4 linked regions of the Saccharomyces cerevisiae S288C genome follow. The protein of the gene in region 2 purifies or fractionates together with the protein of the main gene of each other region. This does not show direct contact. Each region holds a gene or a part of one and is shown on either strand. Other genes may lie near its edges.

What was found.
Region 1: the proteins of NOP53 (region 2) and NOG2 purify together in Saccharomyces cerevisiae (affinity purification with mass spectrometry; 9 studies listed by BioGRID, with this or other methods). This does not show direct contact.
Region 3: the proteins of NOP53 (region 2) and NOP15 purify together in Saccharomyces cerevisiae (affinity purification with mass spectrometry; 4 studies listed by BioGRID). This does not show direct contact.
Region 4: the proteins of NOP53 (region 2) and SDA1 purify together in Saccharomyces cerevisiae (affinity purification with mass spectrometry; 5 studies listed by BioGRID, with this or other methods). This does not show direct contact.

The regions. Positions count from the first base shown.
Region 1 is NC_001146.8:720,213-728,803, forward strand, and holds NOG2 (putative GTPase NOG2), read right to left. Parts: upstream 2,901-8,591; coding exon 2,091-2,900; intron 2,000-2,090; exon of another isoform or gene 1,726-1,999; intron 1,559-1,725; coding exon 908-1,558; downstream 1-907. Other genes in the region: CCR4-NOT core DEDD family RNase subunit POP2, read right to left, coding at 1-435; RNA-binding ATPase activator ESF2, read right to left, coding at 3,144-4,094; HOL1 (Hol1p), read right to left, coding at 8,214-8,591. UniProt on the Saccharomyces cerevisiae protein: GTPase that associates with pre-60S ribosomal subunits in the nucleolus and is required for their nuclear export and maturation.
Region 2 is NC_001148.4:272,929-279,122, reverse strand, and holds NOP53 (Nop53p), read left to right. Parts: upstream 1-1,593; coding exon 1,594-2,961; downstream 2,962-6,194. Other genes in the region: oxysterol-binding protein KES1, read left to right, coding at 1-728; ATP-binding cassette long-chain fatty acid transporter PXA1, read right to left, coding at 3,256-5,868. UniProt on the Saccharomyces cerevisiae protein: Late-acting factor in the nuclear maturation of 60S ribosomal subunits, which is required for normal acquisition of export competence. Required for the export of the large subunit.
Region 3 is NC_001146.8:413,124-420,228, forward strand, and holds NOP15 (rRNA-binding ribosome biosynthesis protein NOP15), read right to left. Parts: upstream 5,366-7,105; coding exon 4,703-5,365; downstream 1-4,702. Other genes in the region: DNA-directed RNA polymerase core subunit RPC19, read left to right, coding at 1-76; DEAD-box ATP-dependent RNA helicase DBP2, read left to right, coding at 516-1,788, 2,791-3,158; CYB5 (Cyb5p), read right to left, coding at 3,817-4,179; YNL108C (uncharacterized protein), read right to left, coding at 5,891-6,703; YEATS domain-containing protein YAF9, read left to right, coding at 6,975-7,105. UniProt on the Saccharomyces cerevisiae protein: Involved in the biogenesis of the 60S ribosomal subunit. Required for pre-rRNA processing and cytokinesis. Associates with the precursors of the 25S and 5.8S rRNAs.
Region 4 is NC_001139.9:976,798-985,663, forward strand, and holds SDA1 (Sda1p), read right to left. Parts: upstream 5,272-8,866; coding exon 2,968-5,271; downstream 1-2,967. Other genes in the region: MPC3 (mitochondrial pyruvate carrier), read left to right, coding at 539-979; LSC2 (succinate--CoA ligase (GDP-forming) subunit beta), read right to left, coding at 1,239-2,522; transcription factor TFIIIB subunit BRF1, read right to left, coding at 5,685-7,475; CPD1 (2',3'-cyclic-nucleotide 3'-phosphodiesterase), read left to right, coding at 8,169-8,866.

The sequences.
Region 1 (8,591 bases), on a different chromosome or scaffold from region 2:
TTGGTTGGTTAAATGCTTGGGTAGCTGGGAAGCCAAGGGACGATTGAGTCCCACTCCCTGCTGCTGTTGCTGCTGTTGTTGTTGCTGCTGTTGTTGTTGCTGCAGAACGTTCAGTCCGGGCGGCAAACTAGCCACCGAAACAGGCGTTCCTATATTAAATGGCTGCTGTTGTTGTTGCTGTTGCTGTTGTTGCTGAGTTAACAGTGGCTCGTTCTTCTGCTTCAAAAGATAGGCATTGTTCATCTCCTGATTAACAGAGCCATTAATTGTATTTACAGGCATCCCTTGAGGAAACATTCTTGCTCTATTAACCTTTGGCGAATACACCTGAGGTCCCATGTTTTGCTGCTGGTGTTGTTCAGAAGCCTGCCTCTGAGAGAAAAACTGCTCACCTCCTACAGCTAATACCCTCGGTTGTACATTCATAGATTGCATAATCCTTTTTGACCCTTTATAAATGTATAAAATTGAGTTGCCTGTTTCTAATCGTTCGAAGTATTTCCAGTATGAAAAACAAGGAAGCCCTGATAACGAGACACGCTAATAAACTTCAAACTGATCTTTCTTGTCAGTTATCATTCTACTACTATAATTGAAAAGACTCAATAAAGAAAATATCATAATGATGAAAAAAGAGCGAGCAGCGGGTAAGGACCGAATTCCGTTTGGAATGACTGGTATAATGAGATTTACCTTATACTATAGAGAGGGCTATATCATTACCGAACTTAAGTTTTCTATTGGAATATTATACTTTATAAACTAAATAATTACCCATCTATGTTGTTTCCCCAAGAATGTTTGCTGCCATATAATAAGAACAAAAAAAAAAATAACAAAAAAAAAGAAAAAAAAAATCACTTGTAATCTTAAATTAATATTATACACCGGTTGTCCGTTTTTACCTCTATGCCGTCTTCTCAACTTCTTTCTTCTTTGGTTTTTCTTCCCCTTCCTTTTCAGGTGGAAGGACGAACCAAGGGATTTTACCTCTATTAAAATCATTCAATATTTGCTTAGAAACACCAGACTCATCAGGCTCACCACCCTTCAGTAATCTACCTTGTTTCCTTGCCAGAATTTCAATAAACTCCGTGGCATCCTTCCATCCTGAGATCTCGTAAGTTCTTTCCAAGTGCTTTACCTGACAACGTTTTAAAACACCTGGAATATATTGTTCTGGGTGTGTGACGTGTTCGACTCTGACAACACCTCTGAATAAAATGTCTTCTTCGGAGTCTTTACTAGAAGGCGGCACAATACCTGGACAATCAATCAAAAAAATTCTTTTCATAAGAGTAATATATTGCCAGACCTTAGTTTCACCAGGGATTGGTGCAACTTGACACACCTTTTTCTTTCTCAATGTGTTAATGATGGACGATTTACCAGTGTTTGGATAGCCGATAAACCCTACAGATATTTGCTTTCTATCAGTATGCAACTGTGAGAACTGACGTAGCAACTGAATTAACGAACCTTTACCGAAAGAGTTGGTAATAGATGCGTGAAACGCCAAAGTTGGACGTTCCTTTGACAAATGTTTGACCCAAGCTGCCTACTTGTAAAGTTAGAATTGAAAAAAAAAAACCTTCTGTTAGTAAAAAATACATTTTGTTTCATAATAGGTAATCTTTTGCCCCAAGAGAATGTAATAATCATTGTTATAGCCGAGATTGATTGTTTCGAAGAGTGGATTAAACTAAAAAAAAAAAAAAAGTAGAAAATTGTGAGGATCTTTACTACGAACATATTGTATGGAGCCCGAGATAAAGTCTCAAATAACAAAAGCTCAACTCATAAGATCCTCGCTGTTCTAAAAAGCGAAGGTATACCTTTAAAACAAAGGTTGTCCTTCTAATTTACCCATGAGGCTTCCCCAGAACGGGGAAATATGGATAAGCGAACAGTATTACTCTTCCAAAACAGTAACAGACACTTCTGTAGATAAGTTTATCCTAAAACGGATAGAGAAGCACCCTGACAAAAAGGTTTGGTAATAAAAATCATACTCTATCGAAAAAAAAAATCTCTCGTGCTATCCTCTTGGTTGGAAAGAATCAAAAAAAAAAAAAAAAAAGTTAACATACTGCAACCCAGGTAGGTACCAAATCACACTTATTAAGAACATAAATTAAATGCTTGTGTGGTGTTTCCTTCTTCATATACTCTTCCACGGACTTACAACGGGTACCCAATGGATCCCTTGCATCTAGAACATGTATTACCACGTCAGACGAATCGATGACTTTATATAATTCGTTCCAAATACGTTTGGATTGACCCTTACTGAAAATAGCTTCTTTTGCTGCGGAGGTCCACCCATTTTCTTTGTCTTCCTGGTTCCCCATTAGTCCTAATGTGGCATCTAAGACTTGCTTTTCCTCATACTTGGTAATGTCTTCATTTGTAGCCTTGACCAAGTCCTCTAGATTGGATGCAGCAAGACGTGGTCTCTTTCTTTGGGCTTTGGGCCCAAACGCATCAGCATAACTTTCGGTATCCAAAATTCTGGCTTTTGGGGATTCATCTGCGTCCTTTTCTTCCAACAATGACATGGGAAGCTTATTTCTTCTCAGAAGAACTTGATATGTATCTTTTTGGGTTTCACCCAATGCACTTCTGAAATGCTGCAGTGCGTCCTGAGATATCACTCTTGTGTTACCGAACCAACGACGATCTGGTTGGACCCTCGCATCCGGTATTGTGGAGTCCTGGAAAGAAGCGGCCCTAATTAAATTACCTTTCTTATTCCTGATCTCCTTCCCACTAGTGTACATATTCAGGAATTTGACTCTCTTGGAGTCTCTGTAGAAATTTTCACCCTTCACACGAAGATTACCATCTTTGGTGTCACCTTCACGAATACGTCTAGATTTCTCTTTCTTACCAGTACCCATTGTATTATTCCTCCCCTGATATTTAGTGGTTTTGCTGCAAGTCAACAGATCTTCAAAGTTAACACTTAAGGGAAAGTACTAACAAGTAGTAAATATCTTTTATATATTCTACGCTTCTTTATATGCCCAAAAAGAAGAAAAGTGAAAAATTTTTCTTCAAGCGAAAAATTTTTGCGATGAGCATCGGGCAAAAAAACGTGCTAAATGACAGGTTGTGTTTATATATTTGTTATTGATTCTATATTATAGTAAATTGGTGAGAACATTACCCAAGTCTTTGGACCCAGAGGATTGCTGCTTGATATCAGAGGGAGCATTGGCACGGCTTGTTTCCACACGACGTTGTTTAAATTCCCTGTGAGGGTGAGAATCTGCAGACTCTCCTTCTTTTCCGGCGCGCTTCCTAGAGTTCTTAATGTTTTGTATCATCTTACTTTGCTCCACGTTTCTAATGAATTCCGCGTTCAGTTTGTTGGCCTGCGAGATTTCCATCTCCAACTTGGCCTGTCTGATATCGTTCTCGCGGGCAATCTGTTCAGTCAAATCTGCCCATTTGAAACCTGGGAGGTACTTCACGTTCAGGATATCATCATGGTAGAAAGTACCTTTCTTGCCACCAATAATGTTCCCGTTCAACGTCTCCGCACACAATTTGGCGTCTCTTTTCCTAATAAACTCGGCCCAACCTTCTTCATACTTGTTTTTCTTGTTTCCTCCACCTTTAACTCTTTGCTTGTACTTTTGATCGTCCTCTTTCTTTAGAAATAGTCTATCTACCTCACCAAAACGAGTTAATATTTGTCTCATTTTTGCAGGTTTCATGTAAGGTGGAATACTGGAGAAGTATACCACCCCAGTCTTGTGTTTAGACTTCTTGGCGGCCTTTGATTTTACCAGTTGCCTTAGTTTTTCTGTTTTTAAATCCAGTGAAGTGGTGGACGAAGCTTGTTCTTCTACTTCTCGATCGAGCTTTTCTCCATTCTCTTTATCTGGTTGTTCTACATCCTCTTTTTCTTCTTGTTTTTGCTCTTCTTCTATGTCTGACTCGTTTTCACTTTCGATGTCTTCTACCTTCTTACTGAAGATATCATCCTTACTAGAAATTTTTTTCTTGGTCTGAATTAAGACGTTATGTTGATCGGTTTCCTCATCTGAGGAAAAGTCTTCAAAGTCACTATTTACTTTTTCACTCATGCGTAAAAATTTACTTCACTCTGCTGCAGTAAACTGTTTGCTTTGTACTTACATAGCAATGGGTAGTTTGTCAGGTTGAAATTTTTCAAAATCTTAATAGCGAAAGTTTTACTGCGCAATGTGAGAAAAGCTGGCTATAACGAAGTAATTCAAAATAATAAAACAAGAGAAAGAAAAAATTTACACGTCATTGCCTTTGGAAATGTGATCAGACAGACCCAATATCACCGTTTAAATATTCTTCACGAGATAATGTAGTTTGTCAATTGAAACGCTATTTGGTGGCTGGCTAATCAAATATGGTCGATGAAGGGGTTGTCAATCCAGCAGCCCTTAAAGAATTGTCGCTATCTGTTTGTTCCTATAATTAATTTGCACTGAAAAGATACATGTGCATTATTGCAGTATATTATAAGGAATTCCGGAGTTTTCTAGTAACTTTCTAGTCGCGCAACCGAGAGATGAGTACTACAACGCAACCTATTTGGTAGTGCATCCTACACATTGTGAACGTTTTTGGTTCATATTACAATATTACGATATTACGAATTTTACCCTTTCTTTAATACTAACTTTGATCAGAAAGCACCTTTATCAATATGGCCACGTCTGGGAAGTCGGTCATAATCAAAAGGCTACAGGCTTTGGGGTTTGAAATATCAATATACGAATTGTGAGACTTTGTTTTATCTTAGGGACGAAAATGGATGTGTGAAATTACTTATGGAAGGATCAATAATAGCAACGTTTGCTAATGTGTTAAGATGGCAAAATGCTACTGGTACGCCTCGTTGAGTATCCATCATTATTAATAGCGCCAAAATTGAAACATTAATTGCGGTTTTAGAACAACTTTAGAATTACAGAGCAAGGTGATAAGATCTCAATAGCTTATGAAAAATAATAATTTTTTAGAACCTAATGAACGTGTCGAAACTTTCCGCAAAATATTATGTACATCTCTACTCAACCTTCTATTAGGATCATGAGAAATGTGTTAAAACAGAAAAAATGCACCCTCATAATAAAAAACTTGGCCAAACCAAACCCTTTCTAGTACATCGATATGTATATCACACAATAAAGTCAATGCAGCATAACTTAGAATCGAGGTAGCGACTCCCCGTATTGCTCAAAATGGAAAATTCTATGGAAATAGAATTCATATGACTCTGAGAACTAAAGGAACATTATGACGAACAAAATTGCTATGATGTGAGGAATAAGATGATACAGTCCTACCAAATACCAAAGATCGGGTCGTCGAGGGCGGTATCATATCTAGGGAGATTTCTTTTCAATTAGAGCATATTCATTATCAAGTAACCACCATTTGTATTTTTTTTTTCTTCTCAAGGTAGTTATTCTGTTCTGACGTGCAGAAGATGGGCGTAGCATTGACACAAAGATTCAGTGGGAAACTATATATCCATATCTCATCCTGGTTTGGAAAATGAAGAGCTGCATACTTATATGAGGGAAAGAAGGCTAAACAAAATATACGTAAAGCAACTATCAAGAGCCAATGGAATCTATTTTCAAAATTTGCGTTCTTCCAAAACATTTATCCCGTTTGATGCATTAATGAAAATTATGAACATTTATTTCCTTACCACACGTACATTGGGTGCTCTACTTTCTTTTTTATTTAAGCATATAAAATGTACACAGTAGTAAAATACCATTTTAAAATATTATTTGAACAATCATAGAACACTACGCAGGTATTCTTCTTCAAAAAGATAGCTTCAATGTATTTCATGTATCTGAAAACGCTTTGTCTTGCCATTAAAGATCTGGTGGCCCCGACAAAATAAAAAAAAATACTGAAGGATGCGAGGTTCGAACTCGCGCGGACAACCGTCCAACAGATCTTAAGTCTGCCGCCTTAGACCACTCGGCCAACCCTCCAAAGATTTATACTTTTTGTTGTATCTCAAAATGAGATACGTCAGTATGACATTTTGAGATCCTAAACGTTCATAAAACACATATGAAACAACCTTATAACAAAACGAACAACATGAGACAAAACCCGTCCTTCCCTAGCTGAACTACCCAAAAGTATAAATGCCTGAACAATTAGTTTAGATCCGAGATTCCGCGCTTCCACCACTTAGCATGATTCATATTTTATATAATATATAAGATAAGTAACATTCCGTGAATTAATCTGATAAACTGTTTTGACAACTGGTTACTTCCCTAAGACTGTTTATATTAGGATTGTCAAGACACTCCGGTATTACTCGAGCCCGTAATACAACACTTTTTATCGTATTTCAGGTAGTATACCACATCATTATTTGAAGAGTGGGTGAGTTTTGAGATAATTGTTGGGATTCCATTGTGATTAAGGCTATAATATTAGGTATGTAGATATACTAGAAGTTCTCCTCGAGGATTTAGGAATCCATAAAAGGGAATCTGCAATTCTACACAATTCTATAAATATTATTATCATCATTTTATATGTTAATATTCATTGATCCTATTACATTATCAATCCTTGCGTTTCAGCTTCCACTAATTTAGATGACTATTTCTCATCATTTGCGTCATCTTCTAACACCGTATATGATAATATACTAGTAACGTAAATACTAGTTAGTAGATGATAGTTGATTTTTATTCCAACATTATTGTACTCAGCAATTGTTGCGAAACAGACAAGATTAAGTATATTATTCAAGGCCTTGCTTACCTAGATGAACCATTGAGAAATATACATATTGAGCAATACCTCTAGGTCCGAAGTTCCGTGCCTACACCCTTTAGTCAGATTTAGATTATATGAGATAAGTGGTATTTTGTGGACCAAGTTTGTGATTAATCTGATATCAAGTTACTTTCTTAACGACATTAGGACGCCAGGGTAGCCAGTATTATTCAAGTCCATAGAACAGCCTGTATACCTTCACTTCATTAGGTATATTCTTGGTTATGCGTTATTTAAATCCTCATCTGCCGCTGCTTAAAAAAAGCAGCTAAAGTGTTGCGTAGGCACTTCGAACAAGTAGTCAGTAATATCACCTTTTAACATCTAATCATCAAAAGAGACATTTTTTGGGATTAATTGTTTATAAAAGCTATGAACTTAGGTCTACAGAATGTACCAAAAGTTATCCTGTAGGATATAGGAATCTACGAAAGGGGCCCGATACTTCTATATAATATATATTTTTATTTCTCCTTCAATTTTATACGTTGTCATTCCTTATCCTATTACTTCATCAATTCTTGCAATTCAACATCCAATAACTTTGATAACTGTTTCCCATCAATTATGTCGTCATTTTACACTGTATATGATACAAGTAGTATGAGTACACACCAATAGATGATTAATTTTTTCCGACAATCAAATATTGGGATCATAAACACACATAATCGCCATATCCGTTAATTCGGGTTTCAATCACTTCGTTTGTCTATCGTATCGCAGCCTAGTGAATATTTAATTCTTTCAATAAAAAAGGCTTAAAATCACCATGAAAATCACAAGAGGAATCTTTCAACAAGAACAATAGTATACAATCCATGAATGAAGGAGTTCATATTTGACTAGAACTATACAAAGGTTTTGTACTGTTTTTACTGTGAGGGTAGCATCTCATTTATCCAGAATCTCAGAAGGGAGAAACCCAATCGCTAAATCGATATTATCACCCAGAAGTTTCAAATAGGCGATTGTAGAATATACACAGGGACAACCACTCAGTTTATGGCTTCAGTGCGCGCCCAGTTCTGGAGGAAAGCATTATCGAAGTAATAAAACTTTAAAAAAGCTCTCCGCAACTAATGAGGATTGCAGTATCCAGATACCCTTGTTTTCTGCCAAATGAACACTTTTACTATGTCATATAAACAAAAAGTGCCATTTCTTGGTACTGCTTCAGTCTTAGGAATGGTCAATACGTTATTATTACTTAAATATACGATTAATAACATGCTCTGTTGCGTATTTAGTAAGTGTGTAAGGAAACTGTAATATTACCTAACCGGTATCCCACGTGTTTCACGAAGGGCGCTTTTGTTGTTGCAATTATAATCCTAGTTAGGTAAAAAAAAAATACTTAATTCCTATCATCTACTAGATACAAGAAAGACGTCTCTGAATTACACACCGTCTCTCAAATTGACAGATTGCAAATACCATCTCTTAGTCCAAAGTCTTATCCTCTTACCATAGTAGTACATTGGTAAAGCAAATGCAGTAATCCCAAAGTTGATGACAGCTAAAGCAATGTAAGTATTTTCAGTACCAGATGCAGCTAGCCAATCAGAACAGGTAAAGGTGAAAATGCAAGATATCGTGTTGTTAATAATAGCAGTACAAACCATACCTTCCAAAACCATATCGGGGTAACAATCCATTAAATACGCCATCGCAATATCACCAGAACAACCCCATGCAAACCCAACAAAACCCAACCCGACGTATATAGCTTGCCAAGGCCATTGTCTAGCGGTACCGATACCAAACATCAGCAAACC
Region 2 (6,194 bases):
GTTATTTGGTTACCCCACCTCCATTGCATATTGAAGGTATTCTTGTCGCTTCTCCCTTTGTTGAATTGGAAGGAAAATCATATATCCAATCTTCGACAGGTCTACTTTGTGTTATTGAATTTTCAGGTAGAGGCTACTTTTCTGGTAAAAAGAATTCATTCAAGGCAAGAATTTACAAAGACTCTAAAGATAGCAAGGACAAGGAAAAGGCATTATACACAATATCAGGCCAATGGTCTGGCTCTTCTAAAATAATCAAGGCAAATAAGAAAGAAGAATCACGATTATTTTACGATGCTGCTAGAATCCCTGCTGAACATCTGAATGTCAAGCCTTTGGAGGAGCAACACCCACTGGAAAGTAGAAAAGCCTGGTACGACGTGGCTGGTGCCATCAAATTAGGCGATTTTAACTTAATTGCCAAAACGAAAACTGAATTGGAAGAAACGCAAAGAGAATTGAGAAAAGAGGAAGAAGCTAAAGGCATTAGCTGGCAAAGAAGATGGTTCAAAGATTTTGACTACTCTGTCACGCCCGAAGAAGGCGCCCTTGTACCTGAAAAGGATGACACTTTCTTAAAACTCGCCTCTGCTCTAAATTTATCAACGAAGAATGCTCCAAGTGGTACTTTGGTGGGTGACAAAGAAGACAGGAAGGAGGATCTTTCATCCATTCATTGGAGATTCCAAAGAGAGTTGTGGGACGAAGAAAAGGAAATTGTTTTGTAAGGAGAACGATAAAGTAACAACTTGTTACCGTTGCACTAATATATTATCTATCTTTTCTTCTTTTTCCTTCCTTTTTCTCTTCATGTGACAGGAAAGGATATGAAATCATTAGAGGAACTAAGAAATCATTTTTACCATCCCCTAAATCTTATATTGTTTTGTTCTCTTTTCACTATAATGACTAGAATTTATTCTTTCGAACCACAAGAATATGCTATATTGCTGTTAAAGATGAAGCAGAAAAAACCTTTATCTATTTCTACTTCTTCCTTTAATTATTGATAGACAGATCGCTCATTTTTTTCTCATGATGTCATATCCTTTTTAATCATCATACGAAGGTTAAAATTTGAAGTTTACCAAGTTTTCATGCAAGTTTTGTTATTATTTACAACCTATTACTATATTTTATCTTCTCTGTTGATATCCTCACTTTTGTCTTTTTTATAACTCTCTAATTTTCTTATGTCAATTTTGTAGAACCACATAATCGATGGAGTATATGCACTTATACAACACTTTCTATACAAAGTTTATGGTATATCCCAAAATCTGTACGCTTATCGAACCATAGGCCTGTTTTATCACTCCATAACAATGAAACACAAGAGGCTAACGCCAAGTACTAAAGTAATATTATCATAATATTGCGTATTACCTAACAGGTGTGCTCTGAGAGAATACAGTCATATTTGACGAAATTCTATAATTCCATCAAAAAATTTTCCGTGCCCGAGCTTTTTCACTTCTAAAAAAGAAAAGAGCAATAAAAATGCGATGGGGTCCTTACATTACAACTTATGCTATTAGTTCGGCTTTCTTGTGATCCATACCATCCTCACGTTAATGAATCATTTATTTAAAAATGGCTCCAACTAATCTAACCAAGAAACCATCTCAATACAAACAGTCTTCAAGAAAGGGTAAGAAAGCATGGAGAAAAAATATCGATTTATCTGACGTAGAACAATATATGGAAAAGAAAATTGATCATGAAATTACGCATGGTACCAGTGATATAACCTCTTTGCAAAATGATGCTCTTTTTCATGTTGATGTTGAGGGTGATGAGATATTGAAAAATAAATTAATTAAAAGGAAACAAATTAAGAAGGTTCTAAAAAGTAAAGAGATTTTAGACGCCGTTAAAACGAATTCAAAAATTGCAGCACTAAATCACCATAAGAATAGTAGTGGAAATCCTAATAAGATTCAAGGTGTTTCTAAACACGAATTAAAGAAATTAATGGCTTTGGCTGGCAGAGTACACGGCGAATCGAAGATCAAGAATAGAGTTGCCAAAGACGGTCTAGTTAAAACAACGGCTGGCGACTTATGGGGTGAAGAATCCAATTCAAAGAAACAGAAGGTCAAATTACCTTCCGGTATCAAACTTGATGTGGAAAAAAAGGACCAGATACCTGAAGAACTATTGAAAAAATCCACGACAAGTTGGTCTACTGCTTCAGTCAGACCAAGTACTTTAGATATAGAGCCAATTGCAGTAAAAGAATTCACAGAAATTCCACATGCTGGTAAATCCTACAATCCCAACAATAAAGCTTGGTCAGAATTGATAAACAAAGAGTATAAAGAGGAAAAGGCAAGAGAAGATGAAAGAATCGCCTTGGAAAAGTACAAAGAAAGAATTAGACATTTAATGGAAACTTTAGATGACAATGAAGAGGAAGAGTCTTCATCAAACGAAGAAGAAGAAGAAGAAGAAGAAGAAAATGAAAATGAAAATGAAAGTACGCAATGTAGTGGATCTGATAAGGAAATAAAACTATCAATAAATAAGCCTGTGAAGAATAAAAAGAAAACAAAATATCAAAGAAACAAGGCAAAGAGACATGAAGAGAAAGTAAAATTGCAACAAGAGTTGAAAGAATTGAGACAACGTGTTAAAGATTTAGAAGAAGTTATCAATTCTGAAGAGACTGAGATACTTTCAGCCATAGAGTCAGATAGCAACAAGGTTAAAAAAAGCAAGAAAAATAAGAAACACAAGTTAGGGACGAAATACTCTGTGATTGATGAAAGATTGGAGATTAAATTTTCTGACGAATTATCTGACTCATTGAGAAAACTGAAACCTGAAGGAAATCTGCTATATGATACTGTGAGAAAACTACAAAGTTCTGGTAAGGTCGAAACAAGAGTGCCCGTTAGGAAAGGTAGAAAGTATAAGCAGAAAATCACTGAAAAGTGGACACATAAGGACTTCAAATAGAGTTTTTTGTTTTACAGTATATGTTTCCATGAAAAGGTTGTCCTTGATACGTGGATTCATCAAGTGAGATATATATATATATGTTCATATTTGTGTTGGCAAGACCAACAACTGTATAGTAGGTAACAAATTGTTTCATTTTCTTTTCGTTCTCTGCCCTTTTCTAGTTTGAGAGGGCATTCCCATGTCGATATCTCTAGATATCAGTTAAACATTCAAAAGTACAAATTCAGTTACGGAAATAATATATAAATTATATTCGCTAAATAAAATCTCTCCCTTTCTAGGGTGTTTTCAAATAATTTCAAGCTTTTCCCGTAGCTTCGTCCTCTCATCTTCCCAACCTTTTACTCTTTCTAGTTTTCTCTCCAATTCCTCAATCTCGTTGTCAATCGACGTGATTGCTTCATCGGTACCAACTGCCTGTAATTGCCATTTGCCATCTCGATTTTCACCGATCTCTAGTAACATTTCATGATATTTGATTAATGTGGGTCTTTGTGATATGGAAATGAAATTGAATCTGTATCGTTTTAAAAGATTGAACAGATAGTCTTCCATGTCAACACTAATTGCGTTTGTAGCCTCATCTAATACTACGTATAGTGGTTTATGAAACATGATTCTAGCAAAATTTACTCTTTGCTTTTCACCACCACTTAATAAGTCCTTCCAATCGGCAATGGCATCTAGGTAAGTTAAGCCAACGCCTCTTTTTAAAAGATAATCTAGTTTCACTTCGACTAATATCTGTACTAGCTCCTTATCTCTAAACCCCCTATCAAAGAATTCATCCGAGGACATGGGGTATATAATTTGGTCTCTTAAAGTTCCACCTCTACTAAAATATGGTTTCTGAGGAATAAAAAAAATATTATTTTCTGAAGGAATCGACAATAATCCATTTTTGTTATACACTGGCCATATTTCAGCTATAATGCGTTGAATTGAACTTTTACCGCAACCATTTGGCCCTAATATTAACAGGCTGGAGCCAGAACCCTGCAAAAATGGTAACTTTATATCATTTGCCTTCGATAAGTCTTGTATAGAATTGGACTTTGAAGTTATTGGGTCAATATGCAAAGGAATTTGAAATGTAAGCTTGTTAATCAGCTTTATGCCTTCGCTCGCCCTTACTGATGGAATGATTACGTCTATATTTTCTAACCGAATACCGTTAAAATTGCGTTGAATAGTACCACGAATAGCATCTTGCGAATTATCCGTGGTGGGTAATAAGTTGGAATTTCTGGAAGCGTCTTCTGTACGTATTGACAGGATTGAAGGAACAGCGCCGTAATTAAAGTTCAGAGAGTGAACCCTGTGTAAGACGGAAAGCAGAGTAAATATCCTATTAGTGTAGCCGGTCAATTGTGAGATGTCCTTTATCGAATGCATCAATCTCGAGCCTGCATCTGCAAGCGACAACATCAACCTTTTGTTGACTATAAATTCCTTCATATTTTTTTCCTCTGAATTGATGCCTGTCGCTAAGGTAGACATAACGATAGGGATTGAGGCAAAAACATAACCCAAACCGGACCATGTATATTTTAAAACATAGTCTTCCAACATATTGTAACCAAACTTGACTTTATCAACCAGCAGCATTTTTTCCATCAGCACATCATACAACTCTTTAACTTTCGTCCTTTCCACTGCTGTTCCTTGGTAAAATGCGATCTCTTCGCTATTATTTATCATGTTTAGATGATAATTGTAGTAATCGCCGTCTGAAGCAGATCTCTCGCCTGCCAATTTACCTAATGGTGGCGTGTATTTCCTCAAAATAAACCCAGTAATGAAATAATTAACAAATATACCTGCTACTCCCACAGTTCCCAAATTATCACGTAAATAAACCGAAAAGAATATTAAATCAATAACTGGCTTTGCAATGTTTGCAAAAACGGAGCATGTCGCATCGCAAAATTTTGCAACATCATTAGTAATGGAGTTGTCGATATTCTTGATTACCGAATTGGACGCCTTTGCATCAAAAATTAATTTGTAAAATGTTAGTCTTTTATCCAAATACATGTCATGGATGTAACGTGTCAAATTTACCCTAAAGTTTAAACTCAACTTCCTTTGAAGTAGCTTAATAGCACTATTAGTATAAGAAGCAGGGACAGCAATTAAAAACCAACACCCTAAGTCCCACAGAAAGCTTCTTCCTCTACCAGCAATTATATTTTTGACTATTTGTCCATCCAGCTTGGCTACAAACAAAGAGAGCCAAGTTCTCATCACCAGGAAAAAAATTTGAGCAGTTAAAAGAAGAAAGTTTTTGTCAAAAACTGTTGGAATTAAAATTTTAGACAAGACGTTCATTTGGTTTAAAAATTTTGAGTAGAATAACTGCGAATTCTTGGCTCTTTCCAGTTCTACATTTTTAAAAAGAAACTTATCGTGTTCATATACATCGTTATCCTTTGGTGGAATAAATATCCTTTTCCTTTTTTTTTTATCTGTAGCATTCATAAATTTGTTGTCATCGGGACTCTGGCGGTCGACTAATTCCACTTCAGGAATATACATTATTCTTGCACCACTGTCTAATTGCATTTGAGATCTTGTTCTTCTTATTAAAGGTCTCCTATTCCTTCTCTTCCATGGAAACTTGTAAAATTTATAACATTTTAGAATAATTTTGAAAGTACTATATGTTACACCAGAAAAAAGTGTGACACCAGATAGGAAAAGCGATACCAATAAAATCTGGGCCCTTCTTCTTAGCTTAGGATGAGCAGCGTTTGATCTAGATATCTGTAGAAGATGCCGTATCAATAACTTGAAATATACTTTAGGTGTGACATCGTTAACGTGTAGCCCAATACAGTGAGTATGTAGATTCAGGAGCAAACTCTTTAGTTTCGCTGGTGCTGCTAATGTTGTTGACATTTCTGTGTTATGCGTTCTAAGACTTCCAGATTGTCTGAAACGGGTTTCATTGTTAGTCTCACTTCTTAGAGAAGCATTCTTATATATCTTGACTCTAAAAGGGCTGAAAATAACCGCCGAAATTAAAAATTGGGGTAAAAAAGGGTAACGAAACTTATGCGGTTAAGCCCGATCAACATATAGCTGAATATTGCGTCAAGAATAATTTCTTAATCGGGATTATTTCCGAAGGAAGAAATTCTATTGAAAAAAAAATCTTAACATCAAAACTGCTTATATACATTCCACAGGTTCAAGCGGTCATAAGAGATCTGACTTTTGATAGA
Region 3 (7,105 bases), on a different chromosome or scaffold from region 2:
AAAAGGGCTAAAGGACTTGATGGATTTATGTGACGTTGTAGAATCTAAGTTTACTGAAAAAATCAAGAGCATGTAGATGTTACGGATCGACTCAAAGACCCTCTGTCACTCTGAAATTTCTAATAATTATGCACACCACGCTAGTATAGATACAGCTTGATTTGTGTATCCCGTTTATAGTCGTGCTATTTAAAATCTATGTATAATATAACCAGATAAAAATACACCTTCGTACAAGGTGCTAATAATGTTGAGAATTCGAAATTCCTTTTTAAAGGCGTATTCCGTATTGAATGATTGAAAAATTTATTTCTTTTTTTATTTCTTTTTTTTTTTTTTTTTTTTTTTTTTACGCCGATGCTCATCGCAGAAAATTTTTCCTTCAGTTTATTTGTCTTATAAAAAGACTGTCCTACGCTCAAATAACTTATACTTTTCTGTATCTCATTCAAATTATTTTCTTGTCAACAACCTGTAACAGAATTAAGCACTATTAAGGCAAATTTAGAGCAAATATGACTTACGGTGGTAGAGATCAGCAATATAACAAGACTAACTACAAGTCTAGAGGTGGCGACTTCCGCGGTGGAAGAAACTCTGATAGAAACTCTTACAATGACAGACCACAAGGCGGTAACTACCGTGGTGGTTTCGGTGGTCGTTCCAATTACAACCAACCCCAGGAATTGATCAAACCAAACTGGGATGAAGAATTACCCAAATTGCCAACTTTCGAAAAGAATTTCTATGTTGAACACGAAAGTGTTCGCGACAGATCGGACAGTGAGATTGCTCAGTTCAGAAAGGAAAATGAAATGACTATTTCCGGACACGATATTCCAAAGCCAATCACCACTTTCGATGAAGCTGGTTTCCCAGACTACGTTTTGAATGAAGTGAAGGCTGAAGGATTTGACAAACCAACTGGCATTCAATGTCAGGGTTGGCCAATGGCTTTATCTGGTAGGGACATGGTTGGTATTGCTGCCACTGGTTCCGGTAAGACTTTGTCTTATTGTTTACCAGGTATTGTTCATATCAACGCTCAACCATTATTGGCTCCAGGCGATGGACCAATTGTTTTGGTTTTGGCTCCAACTAGAGAATTGGCTGTTCAAATTCAAACAGAATGTTCCAAGTTTGGTCATAGTTCCAGAATCAGAAATACCTGTGTCTACGGTGGTGTTCCAAAAAGTCAACAAATCAGAGATTTATCTCGTGGCTCTGAAATTGTTATTGCTACTCCAGGTCGACTAATTGATATGCTAGAGATTGGTAAGACTAATTTGAAGAGAGTCACTTACCTGGTTCTTGATGAAGCTGATAGAATGTTAGATATGGGTTTTGAACCTCAAATCAGAAAGATTGTTGATCAAATCAGACCTGATAGACAAACCTTGATGTGGTCTGCCACTTGGCCAAAGGAGGTGAAGCAACTAGCCGCTGATTACTTGAATGATCCAATTCAAGTTCAAGTTGGTTCTCTAGAACTATCTGCCTCCCATAATATTACTCAGATCGTCGAAGTTGTTTCTGATTTCGAAAAGAGAGATCGTTTGAACAAGTACTTAGAAACAGCCTCTCAAGACAACGAATACAAGACATTAATCTTTGCTTCTACGAAAAGAATGTGCGATGATATCACCAAGTATCTAAGAGAAGATGGATGGCCCGCCTTGGCTATTCATGGTGACAAAGACCAAAGAGAACGTGACTGGGTTCTACAAGAGTTTAGAAACGGTAGATCCCCAATTATGGTTGCTACTGATGTGGCCGCCAGAGGTATCGGTATGTTAAAATTTTCTCCATTTTTTTATTGATTTTATTTTTTTTTGTTACCCCTAACGATATTACAGCTATTTCCTAATGGCTTTTAATGACATTAATGACTTTATGACAACCATGATAGTACAGAAGAGAGACCTTTTTTCTTTTTTTTTTTTTTTTCTTTTTTTTTTTTTTTTCTTTTTTTCTTTTTTTTTTTTTTGAGCCTTTTCGAATCTAGACTCTATGTGAGTCTATTCTCGATGGGGAGTATCGGAAATTGAATTTTAATTCGAATGACTTCTAATGCATCACTACAGAAAACTAATATTGGGAGGATGAGAAAAATTGACTTTAATTAGTCGTTTTGAGAGACGGGAAATTATAAACTCGGAGAAGTGTATTTGTGTTCATGATTTGCACTTCATGTCAAAAGAAATTTCGCTTTTTGACATCGGCGCAAATAAACAAGGAATTGGCTTTTCAGCTTATTTCTAGAACGCATACATACGCTTCGTTGATCGTTGTTTTTTTCAATGCTTGGCATTTGTACAAGGGTAGATTGTTTTATTGGAAAAATAATAGTATATTCTACTTTGAAATGCCGTCATCCTTCTTGACTATTGTTATTCTCATTTTGTGTAGTTTATGCATTTTGTAGTTATATTGAGATACTGTTGCATCCCAAGTTCGAATTATTAAGAAGTGCTGATAAAAATGGAAAATAACAAAATAAAAGGATTTCAACCATATTCAGAAATCATTTACTTTGTTTTCCTTTTTTTAAGTGCTAGCTTTCATTCAGTTTGAATAAGGATTCTGGAGTATTGATGATTAAATATTTCGAATTCTTTAATAAAAATATAATTTCTGATAATCTTCAAGCCAGGGGGAAATTTGAGACAATGTTGGGAGTCCAAACATGAATTTGTGGGGGGCATGAAAATAAAGTTCATATACAGAATAACGAACCAAATTACTAACAGTATGCTTTGTAAACGTTTGTTTACTTCTTTATTTTTTCAGATGTCAAAGGTATCAATTACGTTATCAACTACGATATGCCAGGTAACATTGAAGATTATGTTCACAGAATCGGTAGAACTGGTAGAGCAGGTGCTACTGGTACTGCTATATCTTTCTTCACCGAACAAAACAAAGGTTTAGGTGCTAAATTAATCTCTATCATGAGAGAAGCTAATCAAAATATTCCTCCCGAATTATTGAAATACGACAGGAGATCTTATGGTGGCGGTCACCCAAGATACGGTGGTGGTCGTGGTGGTCGTGGTGGCTATGGCCGTAGAGGTGGTTACGGTGGTGGCCGTGGTGGTTACGGCGGTAACAGGCAGAGAGATGGTGGCTGGGGTAACAGAGGTCGTTCAAACTATTGAAGTCAAAGTGATTCAATTCATTCATCTCTATTAATAATAATTATATAAGTTGACTGCACCTTATTTCTTCAATGCATGATAAAATTTTATTTGCTGTATACTACATTTTTAATATTTTAAAGCTCTTCGTCACACTTTTTCTTTAATACTCCTAAGTTTTTGGGTGAACGGTGGCAACTGGATTGAAGTTATTTCGCATAACGCTTAGTGTGCCGTAAAATAATAGGACAGACACTTTTCTTTGTTCTCGTACAACCCTGGGGCCGATGTTAAACGAATGATTTTCAAAAAAACAGTAGACTTACAAAGAAGTCGTGCACTAGCGCTTATGGGTCATTTTAGAATGAGCGAAATGCACGACAACCAGGTTGATCGTATTGAAGTAAGAGCAGAGCTTTATTTGCCTTTTTTTTTTTTATCTAAGACGATGATTTTTAGCCATACACAAAGATAAGTATATACATATTAATTTATAATAATTCTATCTGCCAGGCAGATTCTATGATACAGTGACATACTTCTATGCGATATAGTAGCATAAGTTAATGTTGTAAGACATTAATTTGGCCTTGATTGCTTGTAAATAAATAATTTAATAAACTGAAACGAAAAATTCAATTGAGTTTGGAGAAGAGTGTGGGCTATTCTGGAAGAAAAATTATTCGTTCAACAAATAATAAGCAACACCTAGCATTAAAATGGCCAATATGACAACCAATGTACCACTACCTTTACTTTGGTTTTCAGAGGTAGATACCTTTTCCACAGAAACGCGCTCACTGGTCTTGTCAACGTCACCAATGTATAAACCTTTCAGTAGTCTCAATGCTTCGTCAGAATGACCGATATCGACAAAGCTTTCTGTAGCATCTTGTCCACCCAAATCCATTATAATTTCATCACCACCTGGATGTTCATCTTTGAATTGAGAAACATCGTAAACTTTGTCATCGATGATAATCCAGAAATTTTCTGGGCCATTGTGTTCGGCAACTTCTTGGTAACTGTAAACTTTAGGCATGATTGTTTGATATTTTATGTTGTAGTTGATTGATTTTCTTTACTATGAAGAAAATGAAAATCGAATTTAAATATTAACGAGGAAGCCTGAACGAAAATTTTTGAGAAAGTTTCAAAAGCTTCTTGTTCTTTATATAGTTATTGGAAAAAGGACAATATATATATTTGTTATTTATTGATATAATAACAATGCTTCTCAAATATCGCTTTTTGGCCACGAATGCGACAAAAATTTTCTCGTTATGCTAACCTCTCTCACTATCTCGATCTCGTATAGCTTTCTTTTTTGCAGCTATTGTTCTTTTTCTGGGCCGTTAAATTTTTCATCCGGAAACTCCAGGCTATTACCCGCTCCGTGATTTTGGTCGTTGAATCTTCGTAAAAGCAATCATGTAAATATCATTGAATACGGACAAACGGAACTATATTGCTGGAATTAATGATATAAATGGTTTCCCAAGTTTGCTATATCTCCTATTCTATCTTACAAAACCCTTTTCTCAGGGTGGATGAGAAGTGACAAGTCACCATTTGAATTCGATACCTGACTTGGCTAATTTTTTTATCCTTTCTTCATGTTTTTGCTTCATGTTATCCTTTAGCTGTTTTACTGGTTTGGTGATACCTTTCTCTACTAGAACTCTCTTCTTGTATTTGTACAATTTCTCGATTTTAGCTCCTTTTGGTAATACACGCACTTGTAGTAGATGACCCATCAACAAGTAATTGTTCATAGATTCTTGGGCGATCATTGCATCCTCTTTATTAACGAATTCTAAGAAGCCATAATGTCTGGAATTTCCAGTTTTCTTATTACGTGCTAATCTCACTTCTTTTAAATCACCGAATTGAGCAAAATATTTACTTAATTCCTTTTCGTGGAACCCATGTGGCAGTCTACTCACATAAATAATCCCAGAATACTCTTCAAGTGTCTTTTTATCTTTCGACTTTTTTTCATTAGCCTGCTTCTTAGGATTCAATCTTTTAATCTTGTGTGTACCGCTCTGCTCATCATCAGAAGCGGCTAAACCTTCAATTTCATCTTCATCTTTTTCGTCTTCTTCATCTGAACTGCTAGACGATGTTTCTAGAGCCAACTCTTCTTTCTCCTGTATAGGTTTTTCTTCGGTGGGTTGTTTGGTTACTGTTTCCTTGGTGGAAGTTTTGCTTGTTGACTTTACCATATCGATCTCTTTCCTCTGTTATTTTATCTCTAGAACTTAACCCTATAGAAAAGGTAGTTAATGAAGTTAAAAGTAATGGTAATCGTCTTCAAATTAAGTGATGAGATGAGATGCGATGCACTACTTCATTTTTTCTTATGGCGGAAAATTTTTCATAGTGAAAAGAAACAGGCAAAATCTGGGGGGTAACCGCATACGTCTCTGCTATGCCGTCTGTAATGAGGATGCTAAAGTTGCAATAGCTGCTATGCACATTAGAAAGGGTTTAGCAGGATAATGAGTTTTCAGAGATAGCACAAAACTCGAAAGGTTTCGGTACTACTACCTAGACAGCTCATCTTTCAATCGTTGAACCTTGAATTTTGAAGTTTAGGGATATTAAAAGATACTGTTAATTCTATCAATTTACACTAGACTTTGACATATGTATATATATATATATATTCACACAGCTTCATCATGAAATAAAAATCAAATGCAGAAGTGTATAATGAGAAGTACAGAATTCAAGACTCACTTTAGTTTTCACTCCATTTTTAGTTTTCCGCTCTCAGCTGCTCTTCTCGCTTTGATATCAGCGTCTGAACCAGCCTCAAAGGCATTCATAAACGTCCAATTCATTTCTTCCCCATTAGTTAAAAAGGAGGTGTTGCCATTCATTGTAAGTTTCCACTCTCTCTCTTCAAATGGTATACTTTCATTTTCTCCTTTCACCAGCTCAAATTTATCAATAGCACAACTTCCATTTCTTATAAAGGTGCCTTTGTTATCAATGGGCTCTTTGGCACTGGAGAATTTCAACAAGTTCATACCAAGAGCGGATTTAGTGGCTGCGTGGGTAACTATCATAATGGTCTTTACATTTGGAAATTTTCTCTCCACTCTGTCAATAAAGACAGGCCAGAATTTATGGCACCTCTCAAAAATATCTTCTTCTGTTTCACCCTTATTACTAGGAATAATACTAGGTTCCCAGTCTGGAGAGATCATGCTTGGAAAAAACTTACTCATAACTTCATGAGTAGCAGGCTCCGGGATAATGGGTCTATCAGGCTTATACCATTCTCCTACACCACGATCGACATATAATGGAATCTTTAAAGCCTCCACTGTGGGTTTACTAGTTTCTAAACAGCGGTAAAATGGGGAGGAGAAAATCATTTCTGGTTTGACATCTAATTTAGAGATATAGTTCGCCAGTTCATGTGCCTGTTCAACACCGTGTTCCGAAAGCGGGACATCGTTATCAATACCGGTGGGCGGTGGTGGATATGGTCCCTTTGGTAGCCAGTTTGACCTGTAACCATGTCTGGCAATGTATATATTTTCGATAGCCATAATTTATAGCACTATTTTAACCTCTTGTACAACTAATTGAACGTCTTACATATTGAACGAAACTGCTTTACTTCTAGGATTGTTTTCAAAGCTTTTTTATAAATTTCGAAATATCCGCTATTCGGATGACGTGATGACGCTTCGGCACCATTGATTATTTTTCCAGAGTTTAGATGTCTTCTATGTGCAACTGAACAAGTAGCCTTCGAAAGCTAGAGGGATAGATACATTACTTGTGACCACCTATTTACGGCATCACAAAGAAAGCGAGATGGCTCCGACAATAAGCAAAAGGATAAAAACTCTCTCCGTGAGCAGACCAATAATATATGGCAATACGGCTAAAAAGATGGGTAGCGTTAAACCACCAAATGCTCCTGCCGAACATACTCATTTATGGAC
Region 4 (8,866 bases), on a different chromosome or scaffold from region 2:
AAAGAAACTTTTCTACGCAGCTGCAAACTTAATCTATCCCTCCACCAAAGCAAAATGAAAACAAAGCCATACTGGGAAAAATCTGAAAAAAAAAATGGTAGGAGTAAAAGAAAAGAAAAAATAAAGGTTACCCTGCAGTTTGGATAGTCGGGTAACATTTGGCCCTTTTCCTCCTTGATTGGATATTATTACCCCGATTACCCCTCATCTTGGGAGTGCCCCGCTTTTATTTCTCCCGCCAATCGGCTATTAACGGCTTTACGTCATTCCGTGGGCGGGTCAAGCGAGCCGCTCCCTGGTTTGGTCACGCAAAACCGAAAGGCTCAAACAAAACTAAGGCCATCATATATATATATGCGGCTGCGTGCGTGTATTCTCCCGGATAATATGGTGCGTTGCAATTGGAGTATTGGAGAAAATTTTCTTTTCCCTTTCATTACGGCGGAAATACTTCATATAAAAAAAAAGAATACAATCAGTCTTTAAGACTATACGCATAAGCATTCAAGACACATAGAAACACAAACCTATATTTTTAATGTCAGCATCAGCTTTTAATTTTGCCTTTAGAAGATTTTGGAATAGTGAAACAGGCCCTAAAACAGTACACTTCTGGGCCCCAACTTTGAAGTGGGGGCTGGTCTTCGCAGGGCTAAATGATATTAAGAGGCCTGTTGAGAAGGTATCAGGAGCACAAAATTTATCTTTATTAGCGACGGCACTGATTTGGACGCGTTGGTCGTTTGTCATCAAGCCCAAGAACTATCTGTTAGCTTCCGTCAATTTTTTCCTGGGTTGCACTGCAGGCTACCATCTAACAAGAATTGCTAACTTTAGGATACGGAACGGTGATTCTTTTAAACAGGTTATTCACTACATAATAAAAGGGGAGACTCCTGCAGCCGTCGCAGCAAAGCAAACTGCATCCACATCGATGAACAAAGGTGTGATCGGTACTAATCCGCCAATAACGCACTGATTACGTAAACGATAATATGTTCCTGAACTCGCATTTTTTTAATGATTTTTTATGACCTCTTATATATTCTTTCATTATATAACCTCTATATTACATCAAAAGATGGAAAAATATAAAAAAATTAAAAAAAAAAAAAAGAAATTTTTTCCAAAAGAGTATATTTATATGTATGTATACATGTAGGGAAAATAAGAAACTTTATTAATAGTAAAAAAGCATATATACTTTATTATTAACTCTTTTGTTTTTCTCGAGAAGCTTAATTTTGGGTCAATTCAACGACCTTTTTAGCAGCAGGATCTAATTCATCAAACGAATAAATCTTCACGCCTGACTTATTGATAATGTCGCGGCCTTCTTCTACTTTGGTACCTTGCAAACGTGCCACAATGGGGACCCTAACTTCTAGTTCTCTGGCGGCTTCTACCAGCCCCAGGGCAACATAGTCACATCTTACGATACCGCCGAAAATATTGACGAAAATTGCATCTACGTTCTTATTGGATAAGATCAATTCGAAACCTTGTTTGATGGTCTCAGGGGTGGCACCACCACCACAATCCAAAAAGTTCGCAGGATCGCCTCCATTTAATTTGATGACATCCATAGTAGCCATAGCCAAACCAGCACCATTGACTAAACATCCAATGTTACCCTTCAACTTAACAAAATTCAAATCATACTTCTTTGCCTTAACTTCATCAGGATCTTCTTGTGATAAGTCCCTCCAGGAATATATCTTTTCCTGTCTGAATGATGCGTTATCATCAAACCCAAATTTGGCGTCTGTACACATGATTTTGTGGGTTGGATCATGTTCAATTTCACTCAAAGGGTTAATCTCCACTTGTGTAGCATCCCTTTCCATGAATATTTTATACAAATTGGAAACAGCTTTTGCTGCCTCGTCTTGTGCATCGGGACTGAAACCGAGACTCTTGGCAACATCCTTGGCCATTTGTGGGCTCAATCCCTTTGAAGTTTCAATTGAAAATTTCTTTATAGCATCTGGGGTTCTCTCAGCCACCTCTTCAATATTCATACCACCTTGACTGGACGCAATGATCATCGGTTTCTTGGTTTGTCTGTCCATTAGAATAGATAAATAAGCTTCATGCTTTGTATCTACTCTTTTCACTATATATACAGCAGATACTGGCTTCCCCGCTATTCCCGTCTGTTTAGTAATCAGGTTATGATTGAGCATTTCTTTTGCAACATCCTCTGCCTGCTGAGGACTTTCGATCATGTGAACACCGCTTTTGTAACCGGTGTCGAAGTGACCTTTACCTCTACCTCCGGTCAATGCCTGCGCCTTGATGACCAGTTTGTTAGTGTTTAATTTCTTGGCTGCTTCGAAAGCCTCTTCGGGAGTGAACGCTGGAAATCCTTCTGGAGTACCAATACCGTATTCCCTCAATAACTGAGCTGACCTGTATTCATGAATTGACAAGTGTCTCCTTGCTTGTAAAGCAGCTTGCGCGTTTAGCCTGCTTAATTGCCCACACTTTGAAATTAGGGATAAGGATTTTCTTGAGTACATTTTGTTCAGTTGCAATGCTTCAGTATTTTTTTCGATTGTATTGACTCAATCCTTATTAATCCTAACTACCTAAAAGTCAGTTACAAAAAAACTGGACTATCGCTCTATAGTCACTGTTATTTTTCGAGAGAAAACGTCAAAGTGCTGATAAGGAAAACGTCGATCTTATATAAAACCTCAAAGATGTTGACTACGCGGCAATTGAAAGGCCAACCAACTTTTAGAATACTCACTCCGCCGCTGCGGGGAAAAGCCGAGAATTCCCGATGAACACATAATCGATACCAGTTGGAGCATTTTTCTCTGTACCAAGACATAAAAAGAGTTTTTTTTAGTATCTACCTGGCTTTGGTGTTCCATTCAAGGTAGAGAAGTCCTCATACAGTTGGAGAGATGAATGTATCTGTGTATATGTATGTATATATTAATATGGCTACGATGTCGTCTAATACCCCTTCTTCTTTTGTTTGGTGATGTGTGCACGTAACACTTTTTGCTTGTCTCGTAGTGACATTTTTTGTTTACCTCTAACAGATCTCTTGTGAATAGACATAACAAAGTTCTTCCTTCTTTCTTTTTCTCTGTTGGTAGTAGAACGCATGTTGTCACGCTTACCGCGTCTACTACCAAATTTGTCTCTACCTTCACGACCTTCCAACACCTTTTGTAATCTTTCCTCACGAGACTGTTTGTATTTGATAGGGCCTGTTAGTGTACTTGCATCAACTAACTCTTCACGCTTGTCTTGTTTGTGGATACCCATTATTTTAGCAACGCTTTCCTCATTACGCAATTCTTGTAGTTTAGCGAAATCTGCCGGAGTTAAAATACGTGTAGAAGCAATTTCACGGAAGGCAGCTTCGGGATCTATATCTGCATCTTCTTGCTCATCCTTCACTTCTTTTTCATCGTCATCATCGCTTAGTTCCAAATCGGAATCTGATTCCTTGCCCTTAGCATTGTCTTTTTCATCGTCACTATCTTCCATATCAACGTCATATTCTTTATCACTATCCATGGTGACCCACTCACCGTCGACATCGTCTTCTTCGCTATCGACATCTACTTCCCAGTTGGCATCAGCGTCTTCATTTTCACTCTCTTCACCATGTTCTTTCTTCCATTTGGCTAACAGTTCGATACCAGCAATCCCTTGAACACTGTTGTCGGCACCAAATTGCGGTCTTTTTGAATCTTTACCTCCTTTCTTGGCTTCTTGTACTTCCATGGCGGCATTCTTACCACGATCCTTCTTCTTTAGCATTTCTGGTGCCACGTCTCTATACAACGCTATCAATGACTTGGCAGCCATATTGACACCTTTAGCTTTAGACCCCTTATATTCTACCAGATCCTGTAGTAGAATCTCATCGATAGCCAAAGGTGCACGAGAGCATATTTCTCTAATGGTATTAATGCCTGCAGCAGCGACTTCATTGGCAACACCGTCTGATACAAACTCGTCTGCAATCTTTCTCACCATGACATTTATAACTTCAGGAGGGACAAGATCATGACATGCTTGGGCACATGCGGACATAATTCTTGTAACATCTCTTTGTTTCGGAGTTAAGTACTTTAAAAAAAAAGTATAAATTCCTAAAACAATTAACTTATGGGTACCAATCAACCTTGATAACAGCTGCATCAAAGATATTTTTTGTTCCATGTCAAATTTGTTTTTCGTTTTGCCTGAAAGATGTTCCTTAAACAATTTTTCGGCAAATCCTTGTGGATCTCTCAAAAGGTGGATAGCACTGAAGTTTAAATACCCTTGAGGAGCACCCGGTCCGTTCTTCTTCTTCTTCTTCACAGTTTTTATGGCATTCTCCAGCTTCTTACCACGTCTACCCGTTTTTTTATTGACTTGCATCTTATGCCTTAATGCATCTAAATCAAACCCATCCTCATCCTCGGAATTTTCTTCAAAATTTTCTTCACGTTCTCTGTCAGCATCCAAAAAAAACATCACACCAGACATGACAATCTTAACATCCTGATGTAATGCTGCTTGGGTCATAATTTCTACTGTTCTTGAATCATCCCAAATACCACGTCTCCAAAGTTCTCTGGTTAATTTTGTGGCCCAGATTCCCTGGGAATCTGGTTGATCTAACAAATTAAAGCAAACGGCCTGCGTAGATTTGTTCAATTTTTGATTTTTACCATTAGTATTACAACTTTTTAATAAAGAAATTAAATTTGTATAAATGATTTTCCTCAATTCCTTGGCGTGTGAATTAACGCCGAGTGAATTACCATGGGAAGAGTAAGCAACCAATAAAGGAAATAAGCTTTGAATTAATTCCTCAGCAGTAATGACGTCCTTATTCCTTAACATCGTCAAACAACTTAAGATTTTTTCTTTCAATTCAAATGGCAAGGACTTATGGTGTTCCAGCAAAAGCTGCTTTAATTCAGACGGGAAGTTTGCAGTTTCACGAGGAAAACATGAGCAGACTTGAGATACGAAGCCAACCAATTCAATAAGTTGCGAAGTTGAAGTGCTCATGGTGGTACCGTTAGTACCTGCCATTGTAGAAGATCCATTTCCTACATCGAGCCCATTAGTGGCAGCTGCAGAATCACCTCCAGCAAGCCCATTTAACATAAAAATGTCCCTTAGCGATTCATAATGTGCATATTGTTGAAGAAACTCCTCTTGATAGGACTCTGGGTCACGCTTTACCAAATTCTGTAAAAGAATGATATTTGTTGGGAGCATAGCTGCTCTACTTCTTCTACCCATTGTTGATGCCCTTGATTGGTATATTCAGTGCGTCTTGTGCTTCCTCCTTAACTATTATTACTTATTCAAAAAAGTGACGTTTGATATGTTTTTTTAGTGGTAGAACGTTCTATCTGTTAAGCGTGTTATGGTTATCTGCGATGAGATGAGTTTAAAATTTTCATTTTTTAGCCGATCAAGCAAAAGAAAAGAAAAAAAAAAAAAACTGAAATTTCCACCTTACCCGTTTTTTTAATGGAACAGTGATTGTTACGACATTGAGATTTTAGATTTATATAATCACATACATATTAAATAGTTAATGCACCTTTAATTCTTTTGCACTTCATGTTCTATATATTTTAGCCAAAACCAAATGTATTGCGTCTTTATTTCCGTTCCCTTTTTCCTTCCTAGGGTTGATTACCTAAACGTTACCTAAACAAACCGTCAATGGCGTCGTAATTAATCTTCTTGGAGAAACTTGCCTTCTGCAACATGTTCTTGACACTATCAGCAGTTGTGAAATCACCACTTTCCTCAGCTGCCTTCAATGCAGCGTGTAAACCAGACTTATCTTGTAAGTCTGACATCAATCCGATAGCTGCTGCTGCATCCACAGTTTTTGTAGGTTCGTCACTTCTAGTATTATTCCTACGTCTCGTACGTTTTTTTTTCACTGATGTGTTACCTGTGGCAATATCTGCCTCCTGTTTCAAACGTTTACTCTCTTGTTCAAGTAAGAAATCTGCGTTCAGACCAATCCAAATTCTTTCCTTCAATTTAGAAGCTTCCTCGTTTAATAGGTGCGCGTTTAACTCCTCATCATCAACATCTTCTAAATTATCTGGGTCGTCACTAACTTTCGAAAGGTATGTGTCCGTTGTGGGTAACAAGTGTAAATTGCGAGGACAATATGGGTCTGTTTCTAGAGAGTAACCATCAATGGCATCTTGAAAATGCCCAGATTCGTTCTCTTTCTTTTCTTCTGATGTTTTTGTCTTTACCTTCTTGACTTTTTCCTCAGTCCCTTCCGTCTCTTTGTCTTCCCCTTCAACATGCTCGTTCTGGATAGAAACTTCAGAAAGTTTGCGTTTCCTTGTTTCGTTTTCAGAACCTTCATGGTATATATTTTCACCATCTATACCATTAGTAGCCTTAATCCTCTCCACAACACGGGCCCTTCTTTCTGAAAATTGTTTTAAGTAAAACAGGACTTCCTTGGAAGACAGTTCTTGTTCTCCTAATACTTGCGTCAAAATTGGATTTTTATTCAATGCTTCTTCACTTGTTTGAAACATCTCTTCTTTGTCTAAAGAGTCCTTTATTTTTCTTTCTTTCTTTCTGTTCTTCACAAAGGAGGGAGGCCTAGCCTCACCGTCTTCCACATCATTTTCTCTAAATTTTTGAACTGAAAGTTTAGCAGCCTTTGTATTTTTGAATTCGTTCAACCGTTGCTGTAAAGTTTCCTCGGCGACATGTGAAACTGCGACGATCTCTGTATGAGTTCTTCTCAAATTATTCATCCTGCAAGCTAGTAGAATACATGCGCCGGCAATACCTGCAGGTCTACGTCCTTCAAACATCCAGTCCTTGGACATTCTTTGAGCCAATTTTACGGCATCTTTTACCACTTTGATCTTCTTGTCAGCAAGATCCAATTTTTCGGCAAAATGTTGAATGAATAAGGAAGGATCCGCTAACGGCAATTCTGTGATATGTAATTTCTTTACCATTTTCAAAAATGTGGCTCCTATGGAATACACACTCACCTGTAACCTTGAAGAGAAGTCGATCAGCATATGATGCGTCTTTTCCTTTCTACATGCAACGTAAAGACATGAAGCGATAACATTTTGGGACCTACGACCTTGTACAAAGTTATTAGCCAATGCAAGCTTATACCATTGGAAAGCAGCATCTGTGATATATTCCGGGATATGTAATGCGTAAGAAACGGCGCGTAATTTCCTTCTTGCATTGTTCAATGTGGCTTCTCTAGATTCTAGAGCACTAGAACCACCAAATGCAGCATGACTTTGTCCTGCACCGATAAAAGAACCTTGTACTACAGCAGCACCTGCACTTGTTTCACCGAATGTAACTTCAGAGACGATAGGATTATCTTCTGAGACAACACCACAAGCTTTACAAACTAAATCGTTGTTAGCATTGGAAAGATCTCTCTCAAATTCGGTTCCGTGACAGTTCTTACACACTGGCATTGGTATATGACTATGGACTCTTTTTTATTACCGTTTTTACCATTGGGATTGTTCTTGATGCGATCAAAAATATGATTTTTTTTATCATACCTGATACTTCGCGAAAACCTTAGAATAGCAAATAAGGCCATCGCAACATTAATAGACAAAAATTAGAGTCACTTCACTTCGTTGATTTTTGATAGCGACGGCCGTGACCATTGCAAGATTTCTAATGAGGGGAAGAACAACTTTTCTTGTAGATTACCTCCACTTTAATCGGATGTCTTTTTTTACGTCCAAGAGTATTCAATGTCATCAAGATAGAAGCAAATTTTTCTAACACTAAATGTTATATTGCATCTGTATCAGTATATATGTGTATGTGGGAAGCCATAGTTCACTACTTCACAACTTTAAAAACAATCTATTTTCCTTTGTTCACTAAGTGATTTTGTAGGCGTGATCAAGTGCTTACCGGGGGGTTTTTATTTTTTTTAGGTTAGATCCGATGGAGAAGCGATGCAGGTGAAGTTTAATAAGAACCCAATTCGTAAGCAGGGGCACAAACAATCAAGAAGTTATCAAAGTCACTTTTGAGATACCAAGAATCTAATCAGATTATTTTATCATTTTATTTTACCATCAATTGTAATTATTCTAGTTTGGGAATTCGCGATACTTCAATTTGCTAATATCAGTAACCACAGAAAAATGGCAATAGCATTATGGTATTGTCCACCACAAGGATCAGTTGCTTACGAGACATTACAGATGCTTATATTTTCGTTTCAAACGTTGTTCCCAGATTCACCAGTTTTTGAACCTCATGTGACGGTAACGTCCCATTTGGTGTGCAATAGTAAAGATGATGTCAACAAAATCTTGACCTCCTGTGTTGCTGCCATCCAATCGATAAGGTCACACCAAACAGCAAAGAAAGGACGTAAGGGACAGGTATCCCATGCTGTTGCAGCTCCTTTGGTATCTTTCAATGGATGCAGTGTAGGTAAACAATATTTCAAGAAAATTGTGCTCGAGTGTAACAAGAACAAAATACTTTATGGGGTCGCACAAGTCATGAGAGAGATGTACGTAGAGATCGATCCTGAGACGCGAAGTAGCCGTGCCGCCACTTGGGTGCACGAGGAATTCCATCCTCACGTCTCATTGCTTTATTCGGATATTCATCCGGTAAGTCAGGCGTCATTGCGAGTAGTTCAACAAAGAATTGAAGATGCTCTAGACGTGCAACTAGTTCCAAGAGAGAAACGTAAGGGTTCCGGAAACGCTGATGGGTCCAATGAAGTGCAAATGAGATGGGATTTTGACGTATCTTCATCGCTATCTTGGAATATCCCAGGAACGTTTAAAGTGGTCAACTGTGTGGGGCCCGTTCAAGAATGGGAGGT